2 linked regions of the Mytilus edulis genome follow. The protein of the gene in region 2 interacts with the protein of the main gene of each other region in a biochemical or structural test. Links are inferred from orthologs where the notes say so. Each region holds a gene or a part of one and is shown on either strand. Other genes may lie near its edges.

Region 1 (7,565 bases), on a different chromosome or scaffold from region 2:
GAAATACTAATTTTTGACTTTTTCAACTGGACCAACTCACTCCTTTGAAAATTAATGCCAGACTTTAATCTTTTTCTGGTGTAACTATGTTCCCTACTTATATATATTTTATTCTTAAAACAGGGAGAACTAGTTTGGGAAAATATATTAGGATGATGACAGTAGGTTAATACATACACAGAGCTTATTTGCAGCTTCTTTGATTTTTTCCATTTTTGCTTCAGAAATTCCTTTTACAGCACAAAGTCTTTTCTTTGTGGTCATTTGGATTCCCTGTAATAATACAATTTTGCATATTTAATGGTTAAAATTTCAAAAAAGTATGAAGAGATAAAAGGTACAATATAATGCACTTGCTATTGTTTGAGATTTGATAATAAATAACGAAGTAGTACTTAAAGTTTATACAATACTTGCCTTTATGGTACATATTCCCACTTGCTTCAGTTTCTTTATGTCAGCTACATTCTATAAATTAAAAAAATAATTAAATGATGCAAATATAAATGACACAAAGTTTGGATGGGATTTCCTTGCTGCTTTGAAGACCCATTGTTGGTTGTGGGCTGTGGTTTGCAATTTGGGCGAGTTGATGTCTCTTTGACGCATACCCCAATTTCCTTTCTAACAATTCACATTGAAAAAAGGTTTGGAATATATTGGTTCCATTCCTTCATCTGTTTTACTAAAGCAGAGAATAATAAAAAAAAAAACTCCATATAAAATCTAACATATTTTCTAAGGCACCTATACTGTTTACATCCATTTCAAACATTGAACTGTGCTCAGCAGTAAAATCTTTCTACCTCAATCGTCTTTTGTGATTACAAAATACTTGTACACATGTCAGAGAAAAAGACTGAGATGTAGTTTGAACCTAGATAAGAAAAATTACCTCTTCTTGAAATTCAGAGTAGCAAAACTAGTTTGGAGACCATCTAAATATGTTTTGACTATAGGATGAATGTAAAATCATATAAAATTTCTGATATTGTAATAGAGTACACATTATTGTTCTTGTACAAACGCAACTTTAAACTTTTCTATACATTTTCCAACTGGGAACATCCTGAATTAACAGTATTTGGATTATAGCTGTTGTTAACAATTAAGATGCCCATCCCCCTTTTAAGCACTATAACCTTGATAAATGGTGCTAGCTATAATATATATCAACTATTCTATATTAAATGACTTATATCAGTTAAGACTTACAATTCCATGATTCTGCAGAAGATCTATGTCCTGGAAAAGTGATTCCTGAAATAGTAAATGATTAACGACATAAACACTCCCCTCAACTGGGACGTACTAGCTATCATTCTAAAAGAAATAGGAAGCTGAAGAACATAATATTAATTGAAACTGTCTTCTGGCATGTTATAACCTGTACTGTTGATTTGAATTTTCTCTACATTTTCAGCTCAACCATTAGAGTGCACTCCTTATATATATAAGAACAAATATGTATAAATGTAACATCACTGTAGGTCTATAGGTGAAAAATACTGATCACATCTATCAGCTGAGTGAGCGTTGCCTTGTCATCATTTGCATCTCATTTTATGTTAATATGTCCTTGAAAACAGATTAATAGACTTCTACTATACTTGCACAAATTCTCCACAATTAAAGTGGTGCACCTGCTATTTCATTTTTTGACACAAGCAATTGTGACACTAGGAATTTCTTATACCAAAACATTTTAAATGTAAATCATTTGTACAAATGTAGGTACGGTAGCAGCCAACACATTTTTTCCAAGGGAAAACTCATAAATTATATTTTAATATTTGTTTATTGTTATTCCAATAAAAATAAATAAAGAGACTGGACTAGAGTTTGCAGAGAGAGTAAATAATATGGTTAAACTAATTTCAAAGAGTTGTTACTCAATGCAAGGAGCCATACCTCTTCATCATCTTCATTCACAACTAATTCTTCTTCAACAACCTGGTCTTCCTGCTGCATGATTTTCTCTATAAAAAAAAATCTCGATTTTTTCAAAATCTCTTCAATAATTACAGCGTTATAATTATCATTGATTTCTAATCACTATCAGTGTCACCAAACAAATTAACAATGACCAAACTGGACACTTCATTGATGAGTTTATTCCAAAACACCTATCAGTAGATGGACTGGTCAATGATGAACGCACCGTTTTAACTCCGCCCAGTCAAGTGAAATAAATCAAGTAAGACATAATCTAAAAGCAATGTAAGGGAGATAATTCATATAAAACATTGTAATTAGTGTTGTTTAAATTTTTAATGTTTATTTATCAAACAAAACAAATTCTATAGCCTCAAATCACAAAAATTACTTCCCTTTGTCAATCGTAGAATGGTTCTATACTAGACAAAATTGGCTTTTGCCAATGCAAAGCAGTGGCAGATCGAGGGTGTGTGTTGAGGGTTGGAACCCCCCTTTTTTTTGGACGATCAATGCATTTGAATTAGGACATGTGGTTGGAACACACACCCCCCCTCCCTTTTCGTGGAAAAAATTTGGTTGATTATATAGGTAATCACTGAAGCATGACTGGATCGCCACCCCCCTTTTAGGTCAGTTAGCGGGCCCCCCTTAGGTCAAGTTCTGGATCCGCCACTGTCAAATATATTTCATTGCTAATCAAAGCACCCACAAGGAGCAGAACAATCAACATTAATTACATACAAATGATTACACAAGTGATTCAATTATATGATTAAGACACAATGTCAATGTTATAAAAAATATTTATTAAGACAAGTAGAAGAATACAACAACTTGACAAGCACAGTGTTTAATAATATATAAACTAGGTTAAAAAAAGGTTATTCATGAAGTTGATGCTTAGCTCTCAACTATTCAGATTTACAAAAACCTTGAAGTATGGGAAAACTAGAACAGTCATAAACTTTCTTACATAGTTCTTCTGCACGCCAGTTACCAACTTGCTCTTTCTGCTACAAAACTTGTCGTCTGCTAACACGTGCGAGATAATCGACGTCTTTAAAATGTTTGTATATTTATTTTAAGTCCGTAACAATAAACCCTTTAAATACGTCGATTGTTAAATCAACATCCGGTTTTTAACACGAGGCACAAACGAAAACATTACCACGAGGCCCAGTGAAGCTTTCAGCCGAGGGAATATTTTGAACAACAATCATGGTAAAACACCTTTACAATATAGTATTTTTGTCACAACCTTAATATGCTTGAATTGAAATTTTATTTGTAATAGAAAACATCAACCAAAAGGCGCATTTCAACCTTGAAAAGATTGATAAATGATTTGTTAATAAAAAAAAAGGGGGGTCGTATGGTATACTTTCTTTCAGAGGTAGCATTAAAAAAAGAAAGTTATTAACTGGCGTTCCCAAAGTATAATGTCCATAACCATATAATAATAACAATAAAGCTTGATATAACAAAGGTAGCTCATTTAATTATTAATTTAATAATACCAATGACATGTCAATCTTTAATACCTGAGGCCTTTTCGAATGATGACCTCAGCATACACATGGTATGATCTATTAACTTATCAGAAAATTATATACTATCATGCATGTTATTCAATCCATCTTGTATGGGAAAGGATTTGTATAGGCACTGCCTTTTGTCCAATCCCTTTGTTTAAATGTACATTTGATATTTGAACAATAAAATATTGGCACTGGCTACGGTTACATGGAAATGTAACAATAATAATAATATTATTGTTACATTGGAGACTAAATGCCGAAACGCAAAGTCGGGTAAGGAACCGATTAATTACGAATGTAACAATAATTACTGAGGCTACGGTTACATTGCGTTATTGTTACACGAAAAACAGCAATATACGATGGGTCTATTAAAATGTACAAGATAATAAAAAAGACATTTATTTTATATTTACAATACTATAGTGTTATTAACTGGCTGTTTCTGTATTGGCACTGGTATAGATTCAAGGTTTGCTGTATTGGCCTCGAGACCTGTAGGGTCGAGGGCCAATACAGCTGACCGAGAATCTATACCAGTGCCAATACAGAAACAGCCAGTTCATAACACTTTTATTAAATGATTATAAGAGAATTAAAAACCGGAAGTGAACGTCCCGTATTAGCCCATGGGCCAATACAGCTTTTTTCCCGCTTTTTTCTGTATTTGCCCTGTTTTTTCCGTTTGAAAACATTAAGACATTACAAAACATTGCACATCATTTAACCTGTTTATTTTATGACTTTAATTTAAAAATTATTATACAAATGTTTTTATGCATAACGATACTTCAAGAGTAAAGTAATGGCGTAAGAAAATTGAAAACCGGAAGTGAACGTCCTGTATTGCCCTAGGGCTAATACGACTTTTTTCCCGCTTTTTTCTGTATTGGCCCTGTTCGAAGAGCAATATTAACTCTTGATTTATATCGACAGTGGAACGTTTTTAGTATTGCACATGCTGATTTATCCGTATTAGGGCTTATTTGCTCATATCATTTAATAAATACAATTATTAAATATAAATTCTTTAATTATTTATTTGCAATGACATTTTCTACATATCCAGTAAGTGGTTTTTGGAGCATTTCTAAGTCCGACACATTTTTGGTGAAACCACTCCAAGCAGCCATCACACACCAGTGATGCCGCACTGTGAACGTCCGTATCACACACTGTACAGTTCCATTCTGCGATATCCCGTTTTGATGATAAGGCAACCTTTCATGTTTGCCATGCTTCCGATGAGAAATACTTTTTCACTCTAGCAATGTTTATATTCTCATCTAATATTTTGGTTGGAAACATGTGATGTAGTTTTATGTCATCTTTCAGTATGGTCACATTGCCGTCCATTACGGATGTAAGGTTTACCTCGGATTTCAGTATCCAACTTAGCATAGCTGAAAAAAACAATAAATTATAAAAATGCAAGTCAAAAGTCAAAAGTTCATCAAATACTAATAAATAGTGAATTATTTTCCATTATTCAAACTGACATCGCCATGGCTAAAAAGTAAAAAGGCAAAACATACAAATAAAAGTAAAAAAAACACAACATGGAAAACTACAGACTAAGAAACACGAACCCTATCAAAAACTGGGGGTATATCAACTGTCCATTTTTTTAAAAAGTTATTTACCTTCTTCTTTTTCCTTTGGTCGTCTTTTAAGAAACGGCATGACTCTCTTCGTACTTTTGGGCAATCCAACGACGCAATCTCGCATGAATATAATGACCCATTGATATTCGTTTATAGGTTAAACTTAACTTACCTTTGGTTTGGACGAGCTCCATCTGATTTTGAAACGACATTACGTCCTCCGTGGATACATGTATACAGAAGTTCACAGTATTTTACTTCACAGTTAGCAAACTTTGCTATAGATGAATCATTTTTTTTAGAACTGTGTTTGTATAGCTGAATGAAATTTGTGTCTTGATATTGTTTCAGTTTTGTTTCAAACGAATCCCAAGTTTTAAATTGTTCACCCAAAACAAAATTGGTCACAGGAATCTCTTCATCCATTGTGTAAAGTAAAATGACAGTTATACGAGTAGGTGTGCAGTTAAATACTTAAACTAAAGTGAACACTTTTCTCAGCCCGAGTTCTCAACAACAAATCATTGGACTATATTTTCGCCTTTGGCACTACTTATCTAAAGTAGTATCTTTAAAACACCAAATGTGACCATTTATACGTTAAAAAGACCAATTTAAACACCATTTGTTAATCGATAATATTTATTACTTATCATTATTACAAGTATTATTTCGTACAGATGCAAGATTAAGGCAACCGTTAAACCATAGAAGATTTAAGTTTAATAAATCGAGCGTACATTGCTGTTTTTCATGTAACAATAACGCAATGTAACCGTAGCCTCAATAATTATTGTTACATTCGTAATTAATCGGTTCCTTATCCGACTTTGAATTCCGGCATTTAGTCTCCAATGTAACAATAATATTTTTATTATTGTTACATTTCCATGTAACCGTAGCCAGTGCCTAAAATATTTTGAATTGAATACACATGGCATACACTCAAAAATCCTTATTATAGACCTTAAATAAGAAAGCGCAAAATGGATAAAAGATAAATATAAATTCAACATTTTTCTGCCATACATGGCATCTGTTACTTAATGTTAATATATTTGTATTTTTATTTCAGACTGAAGAAGTAAATCCTAAAGCTTATCCATTAGCTGATCCAAACTTAACTCAGAAAATATTGGACTTGGTACAGAAGGCAGCCAGCTGTAAAGAATTGAGGAAAGGAGCCAATGAAGGTATAATCAATCATAAAAGCCAATATCTAAACCTTCCATTGGTCAAATCTTATTGTGTTTGTATACATCTTCCTTCATGAAAACATTCGAAAAAATTCTGAAAACAAATGAAGAACAAAGAAATGCAAAGCATTGTATTTGGTATTTTTCATGTGCTATACATGTACAAACTTGTGCACATGTATCCATTTGAAAGACACTCAAATCTAGCTTAAAAGTGAAAAAAATACATGTATAACTGAGATAACTCTATCTCTGTTTTTCAAATATGGTATAGAAAATTTGAATGAAATAAAAAGATATTGTCTTTTTTTTTAAATGACTAAATGTCATATCTGATACTCGTATAGTACTTTTTTAAATGCCTGAAATTATATTAAAAGCATAGATTGGCAAAAATAGAAAATTCAAATAAGATCATGAATAAACTTGATAACTTGTACAATCAAAATTTCAAAGCCTATTGGCAACTATAACAATACTGTGAGAATACTATCAAACTAAAAAATGGTAAGAATACTTTAAATAGATGACAAAATTTTCCTTGCTGAGTTAGTTTTAATTTACTGTATTTGTTTACAGCCACAAAGACCTTAAACAGAGGAATTTCAGAGTTTATTGTGATGGCTGCAGATGCTGAACCTTTGGAGATTTTGTTACATCTTCCTTTACTGTGTGAAGACAAGGTAAAAAGTACATCTTCTTGTGTACAATTGTGTTGTATGAATAAGGAGATAAGTTATGATTCCCAATTAGACAATAACATTTGTAAATATCAAAATTCAAATGAATTGGATGTACATTATTGTAGGCCACCGTACAACCTGCCACAACACCCCATACTATATAATGTCTGGTTGAAAAGGCCCATACATGAAAGTGCAAAACATTCACTAGAAAAAACTTTTTTAATTTATAACAAAACAATTTAAGAAAGATCAATTTGACAGACATGAACCAAAGACAAGAATTTAACTACAGACACTTAAAGAATGATGCAGTACAAATAGTAACAATTGAAAATGATGATCTCAGCCACTAAACTGAGCAGGGATAAATGTAGGGGGTGTTTCATAAGAAAAAAAGTACATTTAAAATGTTTAAGAATTTCCATTATGGATAGTATTGCTTTCCAATTTTTTGTATAAAGTCAGACTTGGCCACATGTCAGTGATATTGTTTGCCTCAAATTACAGCCGAAATTCTGCCTTTTCCCCTGGAGAAAATTCCCAATTACTAAAAAAAAAAAACTTAAAATTCCTCCCAAAAAGTTTTACATTTTCCCAAAACAG
Region 2 (7,821 bases):
AAAAAACTAACATAAAAAAAAATGAAATTTCTTTGATTTTTTTTTTCTTTCTTTAATTTCATACATAAATAATGGTCATTTGAAAGATGAAATTAGGTGCCAGGAGATTGTGAGAATGCAGGATTTTGCTCTATTTATGTCAGAGCTTCTGGGGGCCTTGAGCTGCCCCCAGACCCCCTGCCGTAAGGCACCAAGCTTACAGCTTGGTGGCCGTCCGGCTTCGCCGAACGCATGTTACAGCCGCCTATAATTTTAATTGAGCCTTCTACTTCAATTTCAATGGAAAGCCCTGCTTGAGTGAAGCATTCGATCACTTGAGACTTATAGGACATTTCCGTTTTTTCTGGACAAAATTGGAAAATTAATGATGGTTCTGTAGGACTCATGTAGGACTAGGTGGTTGAAAAAAATTTCAGAGTAACTGTAGGGTTACACTAATGTCCTGACAAAGTCCTGACAGAAATGTAAATGCTTAATACTTTTTTGTTATTGGAAGGATTTACTTGAAATTTGGAATCAAGCAAGATGAGAACTTGTATTTAATAAATAAAATAAAAAAATAAAAAAATAAATAATTTAAGACTTAGAAAACTTGACCTGACCAACTTGACTTCGAAAATACTATTGTCCTGACCGATATGAAACGGCTAAAAAATAATTTATTATTGACAGGATAGACTTCAAATTCGATATTAAGGAAGATTAAATCATTTATTACAAAAATATAAGAAAAAAAAAATAAAAAAAAAATAATTTTAAGAGTTAGAAAACTTGACCTGACCAACCACGTCCAACCGTGACTAATGTCCTGACCGATATAAAACTGGTAATTTATTTCTTAAATTCCGTCGGATTGACTTCATATTTGACACAAGACAAGAAAGTAACATTGAGTAAATACTTATTTGAAAAGAATTGGGGGAAAAATACTTAAGAGGTAAGAAAACTTGACCTGACGAACATCGACTTTGTTGTGAGTAAATGTCCTGACCGATATGAAAGTGCTAATACTTGCAACATTGTTGGTATGATTGAGTGCTTAATTGAAACTAAGTCAAATTGTAACATTTTTATTTTTATACTTGTTCCAATAAATTGGAAATAAAATATTTCAATGGAAATAAATACTTTAAAAAGACTGAACCCCTTAAACTTAATACACAAACAACAACATTATTAGTTCTTACCTTATATTGTTATTGAATTTATTTATTTCCTATCCATAAAATACAACATCCAAAGCAAATAAATTTTGTTAAATGAAAAGATAGGGGAAATATGAGTTGCTGAGTGACTGTGAGTATTGTTTACCCCTTTGTTTCACAAATCTACTTCTTATTATAAATTTGATTAATAACTCAGAGTGAATAATGAAACTAATTATTGAATTAATAAACTCAATTAAAAATTATAAAAATGTATAGTGATTAGCTACCTATTGATTTTAATAAATAAGTAAATTGAAAGTTTTTTTTTCTTTCTTGGTGCAATAACTCAGTTAAAAAAAAATGTATTAAAATAAAGGCAAAGGAAGGTGACAATAATCAATAGAATTAAAACACACCTATATTAATTACTATAATCACAATTTGAAATGTTTTCTTTACAATCAATAAGTTATTTTTTGTTTTATCTAGTTATTGAGTGATTATACATGTCATATAAAAGCAGGAAATGGGCTTCGTTTTGTTTGAAAAGGATGTGTATACAAGCATATACATTAATATTATATTGGAATCACAAAGAAATACAATAAATTAACACACAAGTTCAAGTTCATAATTAATTAATTGGATTAACAAATAAGTGATTAATCTTATCATCACAAGCCCCTAATCAGATTGACTAATAGAGCAATAAGAGAATGTTAACATGAATAAACAATACTCACATTCAGCAACTGCAACTGGGCCTAACATTTTTCTTTCATTCATTTTAACTGTATCTTTCGTGTTCAATGTTGTTTTTCATATTATTGTGATCGGATATTTTAATTTCACTAATTTAAGGTAAGAGGTTAACATGTTAGAAAATTTATCAAGTCCTACAGTGGTCAGGTCAATATTATTTACCCTTGCAATAATTGTTAACTTTTTTCTTTTAGTCATTTAAAAATTTAATAAGATAATGATAGTTTTCAAACTTAAAGACATTTATTTAAGTAATTAACATAGTCATTCTATTTTTTAAAGATACATGCCTTTTTTCGGTGAATAGCCTATGTTGGTCAGGTCAAGTTTTTTGGTCTTTTCAACATTTTTTTTCTTTTTATTTCTTTTGATTTCTTTGTTAAATGTTGCAAACTTCTTAACTACTCAATTTGAATTCATTCATTACAATAACAAAATAGATAGAATCATTTTTATATCGATCCGGACATGAGTCACGGCAAAGGTGTAGTTGGTCAGGTCAAGTTTTCTAACTCTTAAAAAAATTTTTTTTCTTTTTTTTCCTGATATTTTTGTAATAAATGATTTAATCTTCCTTGGTATCGAATTTGAAGTCTATCCTGTCAATAATAAATTATTTTTTAGCCGTTTCATATCGGTCAGGACAATAGTATTTTCTAAGTCAAGTTGGTCAGGTCAAGTTTTCTAAGTCTTAAATTATTTTTTTTTAATTTTTTTAATTTTATTTATTAAATACAAGTTCTCATCTTGCTTGATTCCAAATTTCAAGTAAATCCTTCCAATAACAAAAAAGTATTAAGCATTTACATTTCTGTCAGGACTTTGTCAGGACATTGTCAGGACATTGTCAGGACATTAGTGTAACCCGTAACTGTAAAGTAAACAGATAAAAATTCGGTTATGATGAAAAATAATTAAGCAACACCCTTTGAAATAGCTACTATTACAGAATTCGTCCCTTTTATTGGTTAAACTCCTCTCACACTAATTATCGTATATTAACCTCGCAGGTCTTCTATCTGACATTTTGCATTTTCAATGTTTATAAATATTTCAATTTCCCTCCTCATACGCCGGAACTTGAAATGAATCACTGTTTCGAATTACAAAATTGTAAATGATTACTATTTTTTGTTTGATTGAAATAAAAAATAGTTTTTAAAAATAATTGGTTATTTTTTGGACTGTTTATACTAACATTTTCTTTGCAATTAAATTTTTGATATTTTCGAATCCGGGTTAAACACTCGGACGTGGGCAAACTTTGTTTAGAAGATCGAAAATTAGATGTCCACTGATTATTTAGGCAGTTCTGAAAAGTCAGAAAACGGCCAAAGTATAAGTCTGTATTAACAACTCCAACAGACAATAGTTTCCTCACTTTAACTTTATAAAGGTGTGTATAATTTATAAAAACAAAAAGGGGGTTGGTAAAGCAAAAAAGGAGGGGGCGGATCTGTGTCTGAGCGAGAAGTGATACCCCGAAATTCCGACAGTTAAGTAGTCTGTCAGTCCGATATTCCGTCGGTCCATTAGTCCAATGATCCGATACAACAACAGTGCGATGGTATAACATGGAGGCGTGATGTGTAAAGCCAAAAGAATGTGGATATCGTCTTCATATCAGAGGGGCAGCAGTGGCGGATCCAGCCATTTTAAAAGGGGGGTTCCAACTATATGCTCCCATTCAAATGCATTGATCGACCAAAAAAAAAAGGGGTTCCAACCCCCGGAAACCCCCCCCCCCCCCCCCTTGATCTGCCACTGAGCCGACCATTTCGGTGTTTTTAAGATCGGGATCAGGATCTGAGAATTCTCTTTTTGAATTTCAGGATGTCTGGATTTAAATTTCTTTAAATTAAGGACCTCGATATTTCATGTTTTCAAACCAGAAATTTCAGGATCAGTACCCCTCCGACCCTCCCCCCATCATATAAGCTTGTATATATTATTAGTATACTGTCAAAACACGAGAAGTGTTTAAATTGAAAAAGTGGAATGCATTGTAATAGGATCCAATAGACCACTTTCGAGTTCATCCGTCACCGGCAAAAACTCGTCAATTATGCACGCCTTTATGACGTCATTTACCAGATAGAGGGGGTCGCCTGTATCCCTGCACTATTTACGTTCATCAAGCGTCTTAGTGATCGTCTTTGTGCAGGATAAACTAGAAATAATGGTTGCTCTGTAGGTACTTACTGACAATTCCCTAATGACAGCAGTGTTGATTGTCAATTTTGAGAATTCAATTTGCCGAATAATTCGTATAATATAGAATTATAGTTTTCCAACCACTCGCTCAACATTGGAAGGGAAGTGACGACGCCCCAAAACGCACAAATGACGGTGATAAAAGGGCGTATAATTGACGAGTTTTTTCCGGTGACGGATGAACTCGAAAGTGGTCTATTAAATCCTCTTCTATATATATGAAGAATGACTGTTTGCATACAAGTACATGCGCTTGCATGTTACGTATTATGTTACGTATTATGTTACGTATTATGTGGTTGAATGTGAAATGTCACATGTATAAGATGTACATGTAGGCTTCTCATATCTGAGGGGTGTTAGGCCCAAAGATATGAGACAACTTGGACATTGGATTGATTTACATTGAAGTAGAAGACAGAACTTATTCACACACTGACACAGCAGTCAAAGCAGATAGTCCCTGGTTCCATTCTGACCCTCGTTGCGAGAGTTTTCATCAATTTACCCTTCTTCTCACATCTCTGGTACCAAGACCAAAGTAAAAACTTGGGGCTGTAATAACAACCACAGTTGAGTTTTTTTTAATTTTTTTTTTATATAAATAAGGGAAGTTACAAGGATGAGGAAGGTAACGAAGTCACCTATGCATAAGTATTAACTACATGATAACAATTGAATGATGTTACAGGGGCCTCAGACATGGAAATCAATCATCTAGTATGAGGTACATAATACTTCATAATTAACTTCTATATGTTAAAGATAACAATGGAGGGTTGTGCACCTCCTAACCCTGTCATACTCTGTGTGTGCCTGTCCCAAGTAAGGAGCCTGTAATAGGCTACTTTTAAGTAATGTCCCTCACCAGAAAAACTTGTGCTTCATGACATTATTTCCTAGAAAGAGGGCATTGCCTGAATCCCTGCACTATTAAATTTCATCAAGCATATTTGTGATCGTCATTATGCAGGATAAACTAGAAATAACATATGTTCTGTATCATAGTTTCCTATTGACAGCAGTGCGGATTATCAATTATAATAATATAGGGTTATTGCATGAATATTGGGGAATATTGTCCCGAGTAGAATTTTATATTGCACGAGCTTGCGAGTGCAATATATGTTCTACGAGGGACAATATTCCCCAATATTCATGCAATAACCCTTTTATTGTATAGCAATATAATATTTGAAAGGAAAAATTGGTTTAAACTAAGATTTTGTCATTGATGACGTCATGAATTTTGAATATTTATTGCACTAGTGCAATATTAGAATTTATTGCATGCTAACTTTTGGTTACTTTCTGTTGGAAATATTATATTGCTATACAATAAATTAAAATTATAGAATGATTGGTGCAATGTATTTAAAAAAAAGCATCATATTTTTCAATCACTTGCTCAACATGGGAAAGAAATGGCAAAGCTGCTGAATGCATGATTGATGTTCATTAAAACCAATTTTTTTTTAGAGAATTGCCACAAACTCAGATCACAAGTTGTCTTTTCAGTGGTTGTCTTTTGCTGTTGTATATTGTATTAGTATTTCATTCAAGTCTATGCAGTATGGGCTTTGCTGATTGTTGACCGCTGTTAAGGCTGTATGGTGACCTATAATGTTAACATCTATGTCATTTAGTCTCTAGTGGGGAGTTGTCTGTTGGGTTCATTATAGTAATCTAATCTTAATCATGCATGGGATATATTCTGGACACCTGATGAAGACAATTTGTCACCTTTTTTTTAAAGGACATTTTTTATGTCTCATATGTAAAATAAACGTAAATGTATAAGGCAGTACATCAAATTTATTCTACAAAAGCAGGAAAGACATGCAATTCTGAGTATCATTCCACTTCCTAAAAATCATTTTTTTTATTTTTCAGATTTTTATGTAGATTTGATAATATTCATTTAATCAATAATGGATAATGAGTCAGAAAAAATGGTAAGAATTTTATATATAAGCCCAAGACAAAATGGGGATGAAATAAAGTTAATTGGATGGACCCATACATGTAGCTAAAACTACTTGATAATGTTACCCAAGCCATTAAAGTGAAGATGTGTCTTAGCTTCTTAGGTCTAAAGATTTCTGCATTTATTCCTCAAAATGTTAGCCATATTTGCAGTGGTGTATTCAGTCATTTTCTAAAGTTGAAGGATACAATTTATAATTTTAAAATATTAAATCAAACAATAACATAATTTTATATGAAAATGATAAAATTCTCAGTGATCCTAAAGAGGTATCAGAAATTTTCAATAAATTTTTCATAAATGTGGCTAAAGATATAGGAGACAAAAACATTAAAATAGACAGAAATCATCCAAGTATAATAAAAATTGAAGAAAATAAAAATGATTATAATGAGTTGAATTTTAAACCTGTAGCAGAAGAGTTTGTGAGTAAACAAATAAATAGGTTAAATATAAGAAAAGCCACTGGATATGACAATATTTCACCAAAAATTATAAAATTGGCACAGCCAGTAATAGCAAATCCTATTAAAATTTTAGTTAATAAATCAATTGAAAGCTCAATTTTTCCTGATAATCTTAAAGCTGCTCAGGTTTCCCCACTTTTTAAAAAGAATAACTCTCTTGATAAAGAAAATTATAGACCTGTAAGTGTGTTGCCATGTATTTCTAAAATTTATGAAAGAGCTATTCATGACCAACTATTAAATGGAATTCTTAAATAAACATTTTCATCCTCTTCTTTCGGCATTTAGGTCAGGTTTTGGTTGCCAAACTGCACTTATTAAAATAATAGAAGACTGGAAAAAAGCTCTGGACGAGAACAAATTTATTGCTGCAATTTTGATGGATCTATCTAAAGCATTTGATTGTTTACCTCATGATTTACTTTTACTTAAATTAGAAGCATACGGTCTGTCTAAAAATTCTCTAAAAATTATTAAAAAGTTATTTAGAAAACCGAAAACAATGAATTAAAATTGGAAGTTCTTCAGCGAATGGGACCGTATTTTTAAAGGCGTACCACAAGGGTCAATTCTTGGTCCAGTTCTTTTCAATGTCTTCATAAATGACATATTTCATTTTGTTCAAAAAAGCACCATTTATAATTATGCTGATGAAAACACTGTATCATACAGTGATCATAATTTAGATAAAGTTGTTGAAAGTTTAGAAACTGATAGTTTAAATCTAATAAACTGGTTTTCTTTAAATTTAATGAAGGCTAATCCTGACAAATTCCAGGCTATAGCCATTGGGAAAAAAACAAATAAACATAATTTGATATTTAATTTAAATGGAAATAAAATTTCTTGTGAAAAAAATGTTAAACTTCTTGGAATAACTATAGATTCGGACTTAAATTTTAACAATCATATTTCTGAAATATGTAAAAAGGCATCAAGACAATTAAATATTCTAAAACGTATGGGTAAATATTTAAACAGGCTAGGTAGGTTAACAGCATACTACTCATTCATACTTTCGAACTTTAACTATTGTCCAGTAATTTGGCACTACTGTAGTGAAAAAAATTCTTTTAAAATGGAAAAAATTCAAGAAAGAGCTCTAAGATTCATTTATGAAGATTATGATATTCCTTACGAAAAATTGCTAGAAAAATCTAAATTACCATCTTTAAAAATAAGAAGAATAAAAACAATTGCAATAGAAACATTTAAAATAATTCACCAAAAAAGTCCGAGCTAC

What was found.
Region 1: the proteins of RAD51-associated protein 1-like (region 2) and meiotic recombination protein DMC1/LIM15 homolog form a complex in vitro, tested with the Homo sapiens proteins (2 studies listed by BioGRID and IntAct). The link is inferred for Mytilus edulis from reciprocal best matches to the Homo sapiens genes RAD51AP1 and DMC1.

What each region holds. Positions count from the first base shown.
Region 1 is NC_092352.1:86,755,292-86,762,856, forward strand, and holds the start of meiotic recombination protein DMC1/LIM15 homolog, read right to left. Parts: upstream 3,025-7,565; 5' UTR 2,912-3,024; exon of another isoform or gene 2,870-2,911; intron 1,980-2,869; 5' UTR 1,972-1,979; coding exon 1,912-1,971; intron 1,261-1,911; coding exon 1,216-1,260; intron 469-1,215; coding exon 418-468; intron 274-417; coding exon 178-273; intron 1-177. Other genes in the region: NHP2-like protein 1, read left to right, coding at 3,157-3,159, 6,156-6,273, 6,856-6,959. UniProt on the Homo sapiens protein: Participates in meiotic recombination, specifically in homologous strand assimilation, which is required for the resolution of meiotic double-strand breaks.
Region 2 is NC_092350.1:13,501,457-13,509,277, forward strand, and holds the start of RAD51-associated protein 1-like, read right to left. Parts: upstream 3,018-7,821; 5' UTR 2,937-3,017; coding exon 2,914-2,936; intron 1-2,913. UniProt on the Homo sapiens protein: Structure-specific DNA-binding protein involved in DNA repair by promoting RAD51-mediated homologous recombination.